Linked DNA regions of Coturnix japonica. The protein of the gene in region 1 binds, or shares a complex with, the protein of each later gene. Links are inferred from orthologs where the notes say so. Each region holds a gene or a part of one and is shown on either strand. Other genes may lie near its edges.

Region 1 (7,947 bases):
GGACAAGATGTGCATCGTGGCTTGAAAAGTCAATGCTGTTCCTCTTGGATTTGCTGCCACAAGCAAAATGGATTGTGCTTGGGATGGGATATTGCAAATAGCAAAGGATTTGTAAATCCTTACAATGTGAGCTGCGGGTTATTCTGTTACACTGCTGAAATGAAGCTGAACTGCAGCGTGATTGTTCCCTCTGCAGCATCAGCCCTGATTGCAGGGTACAGCACAGCACTGCTCAGGTTTTGCTACAGAAAGCAGATCTGGTGAGGTTAATGCAGGGCTGCTGTTAGGCAGGGGGATCTCTCAAGCAGGGATATGGTGCTCACAGCATTTAGGGGGAAGGTATTAGACCAAAGTACTTGAAATAGGAAATGGAAAAATAAAACAAACCTGGTGTGGTTTTAAGCTTTGGAAATGCCTTATATATAAGGTGTTGTATTTGCTGTGTTGTACAGATGTTTCAAGGAATATAAGATAAACCCACTGCCTCTAAGAGCTACTCTGCTTTATTTGTAGTGATTGGTACAAAACACAGCAAAAAACGCTGTGCAGGAGCTGATCAAAGTCTTGTATTTGGGTTCTTGATAGACCACTAATAGACCTGTAGGCATAAAATGGCATGTTGCTGAGCAGGCGTACAATATGTTTCCTCATCATGTTTTCTGCAGACCTGCAGTTAAGCTGATCTTGTTCCTTTAGCTGCCTCTGATCCTTCTTTGATGGTTAATGTGATTGTTTGCTTTTTCTTCCAGGGTTTTGTTTCTAGCAGCGCTGTTCCTCTCCCCGTGGCAAGGGCTGCCTTGTGAAGCAGCACGTTCATTCTCCCCCTTCAAGCACCGTAGGTCTCATTTGCCGGCTTCAGAACCATGGCAACAGAAGAAAAGAAACCAGATGCAGAATCCACCAAAACACAATCGACTCCTTCCTCCTCAACCAATCAGAGCAAGGTGTGTGTGGGGAGCTCTGAACAATGCCTGCGTAAATGCACATGGTGCATACCTGCACGTGCACCAGGCAAACAGCAATTAGAGAACTGAATCAAGTATGCATTAAGAACTTCTTAATACGTCTGCCTCTGCTGTTGTATGGAGAGGGAAGTGTGCTGAAGGTTGTAGGGGAAAAGCAGGCTGAGTACAGCTTAGTGCTAGGTTGATTATTTGGTTGAAATAGAGTTTTAAGGGGCCTGGGGGAGTTGGCTTGTGGTTGCTTCTGAGCAAGGAATAGAACTACAGGCATTTCATAGTACTATACACAGAGTATAAAACCATCACCAGAGGTTTTATTTTAATCTCAAAACACTCTGTGCTCGAACTGTTGTGTTACTGTCATCTGTTAGTTGCAGGCTTGAAGGGAATTCAGATCAGGATGAGTTTGGTGGCACGTGGCTGTAATGTGCTTCTGGCTCCAGTGGGGGCTTGTTGAATTTGGTGGGGGGAGAGAATGTAAATGGTAGAATCTGTTCAGGTGAATGTATGTATTCATGTGTGCTGATCTCGTCTGATACTGAGCTTGTCACTGAGAAACTAAATTGGGAATTTATTCAACTCATTCATATGTATTTTTCTTCCAGCCTGCACCAGTGAAACCAAATTATGCTCTAAAGTTCACGTTAGCGGGACATACGAAGGCGGTATCATCTGTAAAGTTTAGTCCTAATGGAGAGTGGTTAGCCAGCTCCTGTAAGTATTGCTTTCTTACATCAACAGAATGCAAATACGGGCCTTGTAGAACTACTTGTCTTAACTGACTGGATGGAGAAGGGATAAGTGTCCTTACTGTTCTTAAAAGGAACAATGCCCAAACTGGCAGACTTTGGGATAATCCAAGATCTTTCAGTGTTTTGCTAACTCAGAGTCCTTTCCTGTTTAGTTTTCTTACTGTGCAAGGGGACAAAAGCAAACGGGATTCTTGCCCCATCCTTGTGCTTTTCTGTGGCACTAAAGATGAAGCTTAAGCTTTTAAATTCTGGGTGCGGTACCTGCAGGTAAAACTCAGCTCTGGGAAATGTCAGAGTTAACTTGGCACTGCTGGGCTGGATTGCATTGTGATGTGAAGGACTGCCTGTGTGCTTCTGTTCTCTGTGCCTGTGGTTCTTAGCAAGTCAGAGCCTTAGATTATCCCAATGAAATATGCAGATCATAGTGTTTCGCTGCTCCCTCTTAGTTGGCAGGTTGAGTTCTCCCCTGACAGCTTTGGTGTTTGTCACCAAGAAAACTGCTTGGTAGCTTTCCTTAGTAAATGTCCTTATACTAACCTCAGTGAGGTACTGTATATGAAGAAAGAGCAATTAAAGAACAATATTGAATGTGATGGTGGGAGCCAGTCAAACATCTTCCAGACATGGGAATTACTTCGGTCTTTGGCTTAACTTCACATTGCCTTTATAAGGCCAGTATACCATGTGTAAATCACTTTTATGTTCTGTTATCCTTATGAAAGACCTTTTCCCCCATCCTAAGGTTTTCCAGCCTCTGGCAAATATCAACCTCTTTCTCTGGCCCGTTTTGCAAGTTAAAATGGACAGCATGTTTGGGTTTATGCAGGCATTAATTCATTCCAGGTAGTGATGTAATTTTTGCTCTTTCTGGGCAAAAGAGTTTCAGCATTCCACATGGAACAGTACTGCGTCTACCACTGGCAGGCTTAAACAAAAGTAGAAGCTCAAGTTGTCATCAGAGAAACTAAAGCGACTGGAGACTGCATTCCAGGCAGCTTATGTAATCTCAGTTGCAGCAGTGAGTGTGGTGTGTATGAAACCATTCTTTACCAGTTACATACAGCCTTATACGCTTGTGTGTGCATAGAGAGGGAGGACTACCCACCTTTAGTAGGGGCATGGTTAACATATCCCTGTCCTCCAGCTGTGTCTGTCAGTGCTGCATGTCTCTTAAACTGGCACATTCTTTTCCAGCTGCTGACAAACTTATTAAAATTTGGGGAGCATATGATGGCAAGTTTGAAAAAACGATATCTGGCCATAAACTGGTAAGTATAAGGACTCACTGCGTATGAGTCTTTTCTTGTAATGAATTTATTCTCCCTTCTTTTTCCTCATCTAGTCATTTCCATTCGTGGTTCCTTTGCTGCAGAAGGCTGTATTTGTATCTCCTTGTTTATACAGTCCTGTGCAGTTGTCTGGGGGTGGAATTACTGAGGTGACATCAGGTCAAGCTGGAAATGTGGGTGCGGTGCAGGCTGGTAGTGAAGTACCCGCATGCACACTGGCCTTTTTCTCGAGCCCCTCCATTTCAGCTTCAACACCAGCTTCATACAAGGGGCAATATATTATAGGGTGAAAGTCCTTGTGAACGCCGTGCCCTCTTCTGTCTTTGCCTTGTATCTGGAGCAGAATGGCTTGCCTTGTAAGGAGATTGAATTTTCCTTGTGGCTTTGTCTGTGTAAACACAGCACTTACTCATTCTCCAAAGCTGTAGAGAAAACACAAATCCCCAAACTCTTCCGTTTTGTTTCCCAAAGTTTGCTACGTGCTGAAGTTTCAGAAGCAAAGTTGAAGATTCACCAGATGAAAAACCAGTAGAGTCCTGTTCTCCTCCAACCCTCGGGAGCTCAGGCCAGAAGCAGTGAGCCATTTGTCATGATGAGAAACCACTCATTCCGATTAGTTTATGTAATATACTGTTTGTGGATTCAATGAAAGGGTGTTGGTGGCCACAGTAAGAGCTATGTGAGGAAGCTGCTGGTGTTTTTGGAGTGCACGGCCCAACTTAAAATGAAGAACTGTCAAAGGAGCTGTAACCCGGTCACGTTAATTAATTTGCATCTCCCAGTGCTGAATCTTTCACACTTCAGCTGTGAACATGGAGTCTGTTTCCCATTTTCCCATGTCAGTAAGTAAACGGAGCTAAGAGGATTGGTTTCTTTTGTTTTAGGGGATCTCTGATGTTGCTTGGTCATCAGATTCCAACCTTCTTGTCTCTGCCTCCGATGATAAAACTCTCAAGATATGGGATGTAAGCTCGGTAAGAACAGAAATTGTTATTTGCCTTCCTTTTCCTTAGAATTGCTACCTTAAATCAAGTTCTTCTGCGAGACGAGCTTGACATGCTATGATTGGAGAAGACAGAGTTATAAACACTGATCCTCTTTAGGTAGTAGCTCCCAGTTTGCTGCTTAAAACGAGCAGCTGGCTGAATGGGCAGTGAGGATGGGAGAGTTGTGCTGCATTCTTTTGGAAAGAGGGCAGTGCTTATGGGTACCACGAGGACTCTGATTATCTTCTGGGAGTGTTTCAGTCTTACACTAACAATACAGGCTCAAGTTTAATTTCTGTAAGCAGCCTCTCAGATGGAACCTAAGAGTATTTATAACTTCTCATCATAGGCTCATTTCTCTTTGCTTATTTTTCTGCCTTCTTTTTTCTGCAGTTACAGTGAAAACTGGATAAATTGGTTTAAATTTGACGAGATGTGTTAAACTGTTGGGTTTTCCCTGATTGCCCAAAGGCTTTGAAAACTGGTCCCTGAAAAAGTCTTCCCTTTGTTTTTCTTCAGCTGTTCCTCTGCCTATCTAAGTCTATGGTTAGAGATGGTTTCTTTCCATTCTGCACTATGCAGCTTGTCTGATTGCAGTATCCTCTATAGCCATACATGCATATTTAAATCTGCTAAATCTTATTTCAGGGTAAGTGCTTGAAGACATTGAAGGGGCACAGTAACTACGTTTTCTGCTGCAACTTCAACCCTCAATCAAACCTCATCGTTTCTGGATCAGTAAGTGATTTTTGTTCTTCTGTGCAAAGCAATTGCTGCACATCCCTTATTTCAATGATGTCTTCCTCCATAAATGCAGCTTGTAATTAGGTGAGCTATGCAGTGTTATTGCTGTCTTGGGGATGCAGTCGGGCCTTTAACCCATCCTTAACATGCAGTTTTCTTTGTGTGTAGAGAAAGAGAGAACTGTATTTGCAGTCTGTTATTGCCACCCTGTGCAGTGCTTATATCTTAGCCTTTCTGATGCAGCTGCAGTACAACTGGAGGAAGGCGTGTGTGTCTAGACTTGCACCAAGCTGTAATGTCTTCCAGGTTACAAATAACTGTATCATAAAATGATGTTCTGTGTTTCTTCAGTTCGACGAAAGCGTGAGGATATGGGATGTGAAAACAGGGAAGTGCCTCAAGACGTTGCCTGCTCATTCTGACCCAGTTTCAGCTGTAAGTCCTTTCTGATAAATTAACGTGCTAACGTGCTTATGCTCTTTATTATGATACCTTTATAAAATGGGCTGTCGTTTGTGGATGGTCATTGCTGGGTGAGAGCAAAATTAAGATCCTTATCCGTAAGGCCTGTGTGGTTTTGTGTCTTGAGTCTCTGCATGGGGAGCAGTGAATAGTGATGTGCTGGTTGTGTTAGAGCCTGGCAGTCTGATGCTGGGATATGGACTGATGATCCCTTTGAGGAATGGAGAGCAACCTGGACCTGCTGTACATCTGTTGCTTTCTTGTTCCAAGCAATTGCTGAGGTCTGGAGCTGGATGGTTTCAGAGCACACTCCAGTCTTGTTAATTCATCTTGTGAAAATGGCTTGGATTGCAATCATATCCCTTCAAATGAAGGATTAGAAGGTGTTCAACTCTTAATATTTTTGAAATGGAGGAAACACTGAAAGAATATTCAGCCTCAGTTGTGTTAAACGATACCTGCTTTAATGTGATTGGTCTGGTTGTTCTATTTTACCTAGGAGACGTTTCATACTTATAATGCACATTAGTAGTAATTATTGCTTTAAATTGCAGCATTTTCAGGTGTATTTGAAGGCAATAAGTAGACCTCAGAATATGTGAGGCTATATATGGGGTGAAGTTCCATGTCCTTAAAATCTTAAGGTGTTATCCCCAGGTTAGACACTACTATAAACTGAGCAGCTAATGGTGTCTGAGCGGAGTATCTGTGTGTTCGTGTTAAGGTACTGCTCTTAGCTTCTGAGGAAACAGACATGTCAGTTCCTGATGCTTGAATGTACAGCTGTAGCTACCAGCCATTTCCATTTATGCCAGGTGAACTCAGTGCAGGGGGGAAGAATTTTGTTCTGATCCTATTGCCCATCTAAATTCACATCTACTGTTTGAATATCATTGACTTTCTGCTTTTATCCATATGAACTGCAATGTCAGCATCGGGAGGTGAATACTCTTGGTGGGGCGTAAAAATTTGATGCTTGTGAACAAAGTAAAGTTATTTTCCCCCTCTTTTATAATATTACAGGTGCATTTTAATCGTGATGGATCCCTGATAGTGTCAAGTAGTTATGATGGACTCTGGTAAGTGGTTGTTTCTTGTCTGCTTCAGTGTTCAAATCTATTGCACTTTGACGAAAGATTAATGATACTAATAATAAAGCTTATAGTGGTAGTAATGAGTCCCATATGTTTTTTATAGTCGAATCTGGGATACAGCATCAGGACAGTGCTTGAAAACACTCATTGGTAAGTAGGAATGCTTCTTGTTTGTGCTTCATTCTTTGTTGTCCAGCTGTGATACAGACATACTGCATCATCACAGTGAGCATTGACTTCCTTAACCTCTATTTTTCTGTTTCAATGCTGTTCCATTAGCACACTGTTGTCTTTGTAGCTATGACAGTTAATAGGAGCTATCCTCTTGCATATATGGGATCTTGCTTAACCTTGGAGTGTTCTGTAAGTCTAGATGCTGGATGAAAGACTTCCAAAGTTTTCTATCATTCAGTTCTGTAATGATTGCTGTGCAGCGGCTCAGAACTGTAACAACAAAAGTGTTTGTGCTGCTGGATATGATGGAAACAGTCTGTGACTGAACAAGCTGCCTGCTTTTATTGCTGATGACATAAGGCATCTTGTGAGCAAAGCTAATATAAGGAAACCACCTATAAGGCATATGTTCCCAGTCTTTCATATTCTTATGAAGTTTTTTATAAGTGCTTTATAAAGCTGACATGGCACTGCAGATTGGTGATAGATGTATACTCTGTGTTTAAAAAAACACTTTATTACAGATATGTTTTAGATGGAAGGAATGAAAAGGTCATTTAAAATGCCTGTGAGCAAAATGTTTAATATCCTTTTATTGAAATACTGGAAACAGTCACCTTCTCACACCTGTATTGCTTGAATAACCAAAGGATAACAAAACTGAAAGCTTTAAACAACAGATTACTGTCAAAAGAAATTCTTGGGCAATGAGACAATAATACTGTTCAACAATCACTTTAATAGGAACTATTTAACAATCACTTTATCTTCATTTCAGATGATGATAACCCTCCCGTGTCTTTTGTGAAGTTCTCCCCGAATGGCAAATACATTCTTGCTGCAACTTTGGACAAGTAGGTATTATAAAATAAATAGAAACCCACCATCTTTGAAGTGTTAATAAATATCAGATGAAACTTTAGTTTGCTGCTCGTTGCCTGTCATGATAATGACCCTACACAGGTGCATACATACTGCCATATTATATCCAAATAAAATTCAGTAGCTTGCTTATTCTCTTTCTATGATCTAGCTTATGTTTGAGCTGTCTTCAGAGGGTTTCAATCCTTTGTTTACTTGCCTGATGGATCCCAGTGCAAGACATAAAAGTTAAGAGCTGGGGGTAATGATTGTATTGGATGGGTATAATTGTAGGGCTGTCCCTATTTCCAGATGGGTTTCTCTTCCTGTGAAAGAATGCAGCCTCCATAAAGGGGGAAATTACGAATGGCATGTTGGTAACAACTGATACTTTGGGGTTTAACTAAAGCTGCATTCCAAAGCTGGGCTAAAGTGCCCCTTGTAGACTTTAAGAACTCGGGTATGGAGAAACTGTCTGCTACTAGGAAACTGCTGATAAAACACAAGAACTCAATCTTTGGTTTTCTGTTCTTTTCTAGCACTCTTAAGCTTTGGGACTACAGCAAAGGAAAGGTAAAAACAATCTTGTCTTGCTTTGTAGACTTAATATCTTGGAGAATCTG
Region 2 (7,947 bases), on another chromosome or scaffold:
GCGGCTCTTGCTGCCGGGCAGGGTGGGTGAAGCTGAAGTGCCTTCGTTGTCCCGGGAGGATTTGCTGCCCGATGTACGTCGGGTGCAGCGCGATGAACGGTCCTGGGGGTCGCATTGGTCCTCGCACTCCGTCCTGGGGTCGTAGCACAGGGGGAAGCAGCGCCGCTCCCAGGGCAGCATGGCCTGAAAGGAAACAGACACAGGGATGTGCTGGATGCTCCTCTTGGTGTTTGACCCCCCCCCCCATCAATGTGCCCCCCCCTCAATGTCCTGCCCGCACCCACCTGCTCATCCAGAGCCTCGGGAGTGGAGCAGCGCGTGTCCTCGCTGGGCAGGAGCCGCAGGGAATCGCGGGACAAGGGAGTGAGGGGAGCTGAGAGCAGTTCGGGGCTGATGGGGCTGCGCGGAGAGTGAGTGTGGGACAGCTCTGAGTGGGAAGGGCAGCCGCCCATGTCCGGGGATGCTGGCTGGGGGGTGGAGGGGGTCCCCAGCTGGGGGGTCGTCCGTCCGTCTGTCGATCTGTAGGACCTGAGGAATGGAAACAGCGCCAAGGTGAGCAGATAGAAGCTGCTATGGGAATAGAACAAACCATGGTGGGTCTGTGGGGTGAAAGACCACGGGATGCTCAGATCTGCCAACAGCATTTCAGGGAACCAAGGGGAGCTGAGCTGAGCAGCACAGCCTGGCCCCGGCCTGTACTTACAGCCCCATCCCTCCTCACTATGGACCCACAATGGGAACGGGCTGCTGGCCCAGGAGGGGTCACTGGGAGCTATTGGGACAGCTGGGGGAGCAACTTGTGGCCCAGAGGTGAAGGTGGGACCTCAATGCTGCGTGGGAAGGAGCTGGAGATGGCAGCACCTCTCCCCAGGATGCAGAGCTCTGCCACAGCCACCTCAAGGCAGGGAACATCCAGCCCTGGGGGCACTCACACCAACGTGAACTGCAGCACAACCACACAGAGCCACCCTGCTGCAAGCACAGCTGCACTGAGAAGGCTGCTGCACGGCTGCATGCAGCTGCAATGCAACCCCAGCTGCACTGACATGGCTGCATGCAGCTGCAGTCCACCAGCAAGAGCAGAGCAGTTCCAAACCAAAGCATCAGAAAGCAAATGGAAAAGAGAATCTCATCCTCCAGCTCTGTCAGGTGAGCAGAGCTGAGAGAAGACACTGCAGCAGTGCTGAGTGATGGTTGGAAGGGCAGGACAGGCGTGTAATGGAACAGAAGCAGAGCTGTGCTGCTGTACCTGCTGCCCCGCCGCTGCGGGGGCACACTCGTGCTCCAAAGCCACCGGGCTCGCTCCATCTCTTCACACTTGCTGTGCCGAGCAGCAAAGGCTGAATCAGACAAGTCCTCGATCTGTGGGAGAGATGGGATGGCACAGGGCTCAGTCTGGGGCTGTTCATGTTGGATGCACATCCGTGTGCAGTAACATCAATTGGTGATGGCCAGAGCACCCCAAGTGCCACCGAACCCAGCGTCACCCCATTGGGACACAGGGCAGCTCTCACCTCCTCGTTGTCTTCATCGGGGCTGACTTTCAGGGCGCCGATGTCCACCTCACGCCAGCTGCAAACAAACACAAGGTCAGGGTGCAGCCAGCCACAGCACAGCCCCATTGATTGAGGAAATCACAACAAGCAGCACCTGCAGGTGGGCGTTCAGTTCAGCTGCACATCTGTCCCCACAACCCCCCCATGGTGCCAGCAGAGCAGTTTCTCACTCCAGCCCCACGTGGAGCAGCTGCTTTCAGGCACTGAGACAACACAATCCCTATGTCTGTGTGAGGGCTCCCAGAGCTGCTCTCCCAGGGGAGGCAAAGCCCAACTCCTCCCCAGCAGCCCCCGGAGCAGAGTCCTGAGCTGAGCTGATGGGCACAGACCTGGGCGTCAGGATCTCCTTGTACTGCAGCTTCTCGACACGAGTTGTGGCAGCGACAGACATCGGGATGACAATGTTGTTAATATCAAATGAGCTTTCCCCTCTCCTCCTCCTCGGCTGCTGCAATGGAAAGATGAGAACAACATGAGGAAGGCTCGGAGGCTTTGCTATGGTGAGGCAATGAGAAAGGACCAACAGAGATCTGTGCTGGAACTGAGTTGTGCTGCCTGCTGCAAGGCCTCCCCATGGGAACAGCCATGAAAGGGGAGAGAAGAGCCACACAGAGCCCAGTTCCCTGCTGTGAAGTGGCAGTGGGACCATGAGCACTAAGAAGTGCAGGCATGGAGCACAGCTCCAATGGGATCAGCACAGGGCTGGGATCAGTAGCTCATCCTGGCTTGTGGCAGCTGCTCTACAACCTGATGGCTTCCACCTGCAGCTTCTTTCAGCCGGGTTTCCAAGCTAGAAATAAGCTGCACACTCAGCTTATCCACTTGGGTTGGATGCTGGGTGCTCTCTCTCTGTCCCCAAACCTCCCCTGAGCAGCACTGCAGCACAGCCATGGGATGCTCCAGGCTCTGAGCACTGCCATCCCAATGAGTGAAGCTGACAGTAAGAAGCTCCTGCAGGGCTTCTCCCCTTCTCGTGCTTTTATGTCCCAGAGCAGCCGTGTTCCTGCATTACAACCTGAGCTCAACCTGCACTAAGTGAAGGGATGCTGCTCAGCTTCCCCATTGCCATTTGTATGGGCTTTGGTAGAAGTGGCAGCACACGACAGGGACCATCATTTCTGAAGCAAAACCTGCTGGGCAACCAGAGGTAAAACTGCAAAAGCACAACAAGTCACAGTGCAGGAAGCTGCAGCTCCTGTCATGCACACACACCTCCCAGCTCAAAGCAGCTCCCCGAAGGAACAAGTGCAATGCTGCTGATTCTGCAGCAAAGTTGTGCACGTTGGGAGGTGCTGCACAACCACCAAAACCAGACCCAAACCTTGTCCTGCCCTGCACAACGCCCACACCTCAGGGCTGCTGGAGCAGCACAGGCGGCTTCTGGGGCTGGTTGAAGCCGGGTGCTGGAAACCAGCACCATGTTGTAACCCTGTTAATTGTGAATGGGCTCAGGGAAGGGTGGCAAAAGGAGCAGGAAGGAAGATCAAGTGCAGGGAAGCACGAACAGATTTCATCTTGACATGCTATGGCTGCTGAGGAGCGTCCTGGTCTCCAAAACACTCGGCTCATTCCAGGGAAGCTGCTGCTGCTGGTTGGAGTCTCAGCCTCCCCTGAGCATTACAACCCACCTCACTGACAACAGCTGATGACGCAACAGCAAACTGTTCTGGGAAAGAACCCGGCTGGAGGTGGCAGCCCCAGAGCTCAGAGCAAGGACAGAGGCACACAGTGAGCTCTGAGCCCCCAAAGCCTGGATCCCCAGCAGGGGCTGCACCACACAGAGACCAGGAGCTTTCCTAGGACACCTCAGAGCTGAACAGAGCGGGAGGGAGCTGGGTCCTGCTTGCTGATGGCTTCCAGAAACAGCTCCACAAAGGTTCCAAATGCTGTCATCTGTTCTGGGAGGCTGAGCATGTCTGGGCACACACTATGAGCCAACCCCAGTTATAACGACAGCTAAGTCCCATCCTCAGCCCAATTTACAGCCCAACACACAGAGAAAAGGCCAGAAAGGGGAAGAACCCAGAGCAGGAGCTGTTGTTGTGTCAGCAGCTTTGTGCTGCTGGTGCTCAGCTCTTCCACTCCGTTTCCTGGCATCCCCTGACATCTTCAGTAACCAGAATCCGGACATGGAGCAAAGCCAGTGGGCTACTGGGAACGGGAACATTCACCAGCACTTACTGAACTGACAGTGAACCTGTCACTGCAGCCGGCTCCGTGCACAGCCAGGAGCACAGCAGACCCAAAGCCAAAGCAGGAGGAGAGCCAACACAATCCCATCACCAGCGAGGTAAAGATGCTGGGAAGCTGAGAGCCGAGCTCAGCAGCTCCCCACACAGACAGCAATACTTACGGTGCCGGAGGTGCCCTGGGAGCTCGTGCTGGTGGGAGCAGAGCCCTCCGAGGAGGTGGACAGCTGCCGTGCTATGGGGCTGTGAGGTGCATGGGTCGCAGCCGCTGCCAAGTAGCTCGGGCCACCGACGTCCGCGTGATGCTTCAGCACTGCATGGGGAGGGAGGAGAAAACAAAGAGCCACGTTAGCACCAAATAAAATAAGGCTGGGGGGGTAGGAAGGAGAAAAGGACCATCTGTGCCAGAAATGGCCAATGCTGAGGTGAGCCCTGCAGGAAAGAGAAGCGATTTGTGACTGCAAACAGCTCGTCAGGGGCTGCAGGGAGCAGCAGTCGGGGCGCACGGTGCGGTGAGGAGGCCCAGAAGCAGTGCGATCCCTCTGCTCCAAGGGGAGACAGGCTGATGAGCAGCAAAGCCCAAGCTCCCCCCGAGCGCCCTGGCCTGGCAGCCTACCTTCACTCCTCTCAGATGAGCAGTCGCGTAATCGCTTTTTGTCATGGGCGGGAGGCTGGACAAGCGAGCGCTCAGGCGCTCTCTCGGCCTTGGACACGGCCATAAAATCGTCTAAGGGCGGCCTGTGCGCCTTGTCTGCCTGGGCTTTGTGCTGTGAGCGCTCTGAGGAGGGGAACAGAGAAAGAGCCATGAAACTCCTGTTTTCACCTCTCTTTCTGCGGGCATGGGATGCATCACTGCTGCGATGCTGCGGCTCAATGGCGTCATGCAGCGGGCAGAGCTCTGCATGGGCACGGCCTGGTGTTGGGCAAGGAGGGTCCCTACAGCCAGGAGCAGCTGCACACACGGCCCCTTCAGCCCCAAAGGCTCCGTTTGAATGCTATCCATCCTCCTCTCTCCTCCCGGACCGCACTGCTTTGGGGTTACCAACAGCAGGGGGGCACTTACTGGCTGCGGTGAAGAAGGAGTTCACCAGCTTGTGGCGGTCCTTGCGAGCGGGGTCGGTCAGGCTGCTGGTGGGCATGGGGGCTCTGTGCTTGAACGAGAGCTTTTTGGGAGCTTTCATTTTCTCGTAGGGTTTGTTCTGCCACTGGGATTTCAACATGCTCTGGAAGTGCAGGCTGGTCGGCACGTCTGCGGAGGGAAAGCAAATGCAGAGTTCACATTAAGTGTGTACCAGGAAGCAGCGGGTCCAGCATCACCTCCCAGTCCCCAGCAAGAACTGCCCCAACACACAGAGGGTCATCACTGCACAGCCACATTTGCCTGTGTATTCAAGGAGGAGCTGCTACGTGAGGATCCAGCATTCCCAACCTGAAGCTCTTTGAGAGCAGCACAGTAATACAGGATTCACACCCAGGTATATCCTGGCAGGAGAATAAAAGGCACGTGGCTCCATTCTGCTATCTGTGATCTGACTTCCAGGGCTCTGGGATATCTCAGCTCATCAAACCTACAGGAATACAGACTGGAAGAGAGAAGTTCAGCTTAACTCCTCCACTTCGGGTCAGGCCAGAAGCCAAACAGGTACGGTGTGAAGTTCATCTGCATGGCAGGGCATCTGCCATGGAACCAAGGGTGCTCCAAATGAGCACACTGCAGGGCCCATGGAAGCAGCAGCCCCCCAGGGTGCTCACAGCTGCACCCAGAGCACTCAGCCCGGCCTGTGCTGCCTTTTCAGACCACGCCGTGCACTGCAGTGGGGCACACGCTCCTCTTGTCCACACTCCTCAAGCTCCATTGCATCCCAGTCCCACACAGACGTGCTCTCCTGACCTCAGCTGAAGGCTGGAACACTAATGGGGTTATTCGGTGCCTTCCTTGTGCAGACAGGCCACGCTATGGGGTCGGCTCTAAAAACCATCAGCTGGACCAACAAACTCCCCCAGCAGCACCGTTCCTCCCCCAGATCTCACACCATGTTTTTGCAGGGACTCCAAAGCGACCCTGAGCTTAGAGGAACCTTCCCAGAGCCCACACGAGGAGCTGAGGTGCCCAGCAGCCCTGCAGAGGGGCCAGCACTGCAACTCGGAGCTGCTGCAGCATCTGGGAACTGCAGATGACCTCAGAGGGCAGCAGGAAGGGATGGCAGCCCTGCTGGCAGCCTTGGCAGCTGAGATGGGAATCCATCCCCAGTCATTCCAGAGGCTGGAAAGCCCCAGGACGGGCAAACAGGGCTGCAGGCTGCAGTCACTGTCAGGGGAACTTGATGCTGAGCAAGAAGCCAGAGCAGCCGTGTTTAGAAGACCCTGGTGCTAAAGCTCTCACTGAGCCCCATCCATGTGGGCAGCAAAGTGTGAGAGCAGTTGTTCAACCACTGACAGCCTGCACAGACTGATCCCAAAGGGGAGGGAGGGCTCAGAGAGGGCCCTGAGGGGAAAACAGCCTCCGCTCTTTGCTCATCTCCTGCCTCTTCCTGGAAATACATTCCACCGTCAGCAGCTGACACATCTGGGGAAGGATGGGCCAGGCTGAAAGGAGGCAGAAACACAAAGACAAAAGGCAAACAAACTGTGCTGCCCTTGTGATGGTCACAGCCACGGTGCAGAGCATCCAAGGACCGGCAGATGGCAACCGCGCCGAGCTCAGCACGGCTCACATCCTTCCACCAAGGTTATTACATCATCCCCAAACTCCCAGCTACAAATCACACCGAGCAGAAAAAGGAGAAGAGAGAAGGGACAGAGAACTTCAGAAGATGTTAAAGCTCCGCCGTGCACTCCACGCTGCTGCACCAAGTCTGTGCAGAGCTGGATTTACATCTGTGAGCACAAGGCTTTGACCCGACCCAAGCACGAGCAGCAGAACATCACCTTCCCCCCAGGAGCCATCCCCTTCCACTGGGAGACCTCTGCCCTGGCCTGCTGACAGCTCAGCTCTCCTGCAAGAGTGCCCACTCAGATCATCTGCACCTCGCTGTGGTCAGAGGGAAACGATGATGGGTGGAGAGCAGTACATGCAGCCAATAGGTTTTAGTCAGAGCAGCAGCAGCCTAATGGGAACGTCCCTTCCTCCTGTACCCTCTGACCCACTCGAGATCGTGGACAACTCCATACAAGGTCAAAGAAACATCCTGCAGCTTCCACCAATCCACAAGTGGTTTCATGCAGGTAAATAAGCTCTGCTGAGGTCTGTGACCACCAGTCACCATGCTCTGATGTTTGGATGGTGATGGAGTTGGATGCAAGGATCCTTATGGTCCCGTCCAACTCAGATTATGCTATTTATGACACCAGCACAGGACCCAGCACAGACTCTCAGGCCCCAGCCAACACTCTCTCTTCTGCTGCAGCAAATGCTCAGCTCCTAAAAGCACGTGCAGATGAAGAGCATGGTTTTAATTGCATCCATCACACCAGCACCTCCTCAGGGTGAAGGCTGCACAGCTCCTCAAGCCCCAGACACTCCCTGGTGTCCCATGTCAGCACCCAGCCCGACCCCCCAACCCCCTCCCCACAGCCCTGCTTTGCTGTGCTCACCATCAGGGAAGGACAGAACGGGATGGATGCAGGAGTCCAGCTGCGAGAGGCGCTCCAGCAGCGGCGCATCGTACTGCATCTCCAGCGCCGCGGAGCTGCGGGCACCACACAGAGCACACGAGGGGTTCACATCACAGCTGCACCGTGCCAGGCTGTTCCGGTGGACCTGGAGAAGGCCACAGAGAAGTTCAGCATCCCACAGGGCTCTCTTTGCATGCTGCCCTTTGATAGATCATCAAATAAACCCTGATCTTATAACACCCTGCAGCAAACCTGTTGATTCAGTCTGGACCTTACATCAACACAGCCGAGAACGACTGCTTGCCTGCACACAGCATCCCCTAGACTTGATTAAAAGTGTTTATCTGGGTTGAAAACCTCATTTACAAAACCATGAGACAGCACAATTCTGTTGTCAGGGAGGAAAAACACCTTCTAGTTCAGACAAGACAGGGAACCACCAGCCAAGAGCTGACACCTACAGCGAGTGAGAAGGTTTTCAGTCTTGGTCTCTAAACCAGGAGGGACTTTCAGTTCACAGACTTTATATAAACCTCCTCTGTATAAAAAACCATCGTGGTGCAGATGCACAACTGGATGTAAAACAG

Evidence for each region. The genes of interacting proteins can lie anywhere in the genome.
Region 2: WDR5 (region 1) and KANSL1 share a complex: the UniProt entries of both Homo sapiens proteins name them as parts of the NSL complex. The link is inferred for Coturnix japonica from reciprocal best matches to the Homo sapiens genes WDR5 and KANSL1.

Annotation. Positions count from the first base shown.
Region 1 is NC_029532.1:5,720,257-5,728,203, forward strand, and holds part of WDR5 (WD repeat-containing protein 5), read left to right. Parts: intron 1-749; 5' UTR 750-863; coding exon 864-944; intron 945-1,567; coding exon 1,568-1,676; intron 1,677-2,908; coding exon 2,909-2,982; intron 2,983-3,887; coding exon 3,888-3,977; intron 3,978-4,637; coding exon 4,638-4,727; intron 4,728-5,084; coding exon 5,085-5,168; intron 5,169-6,218; coding exon 6,219-6,274; intron 6,275-6,392; coding exon 6,393-6,439; intron 6,440-7,241; coding exon 7,242-7,317; intron 7,318-7,863; coding exon 7,864-7,897; intron 7,898-7,947.
Region 2 is NC_029542.1:2,358,992-2,366,938, reverse strand, and holds part of KANSL1 (KAT8 regulatory NSL complex subunit 1), read right to left. Parts: intron 7,506-7,947; coding exon 7,340-7,505; intron 4,995-7,339; coding exon 4,809-4,994; intron 4,524-4,808; coding exon 4,362-4,523; intron 4,059-4,361; coding exon 3,910-4,058; intron 2,005-3,909; coding exon 1,886-2,004; intron 1,573-1,885; coding exon 1,515-1,572; intron 1,363-1,514; coding exon 1,250-1,362; intron 529-1,249; coding exon 285-528; intron 184-284; coding exon 1-183. UniProt on the Homo sapiens protein: Non-catalytic component of the NSL histone acetyltransferase complex, a multiprotein complex that mediates histone H4 acetylation at 'Lys-5'- and 'Lys-8' (H4K5ac and H4K8ac) at transcription start sites and promotes transcription initiation.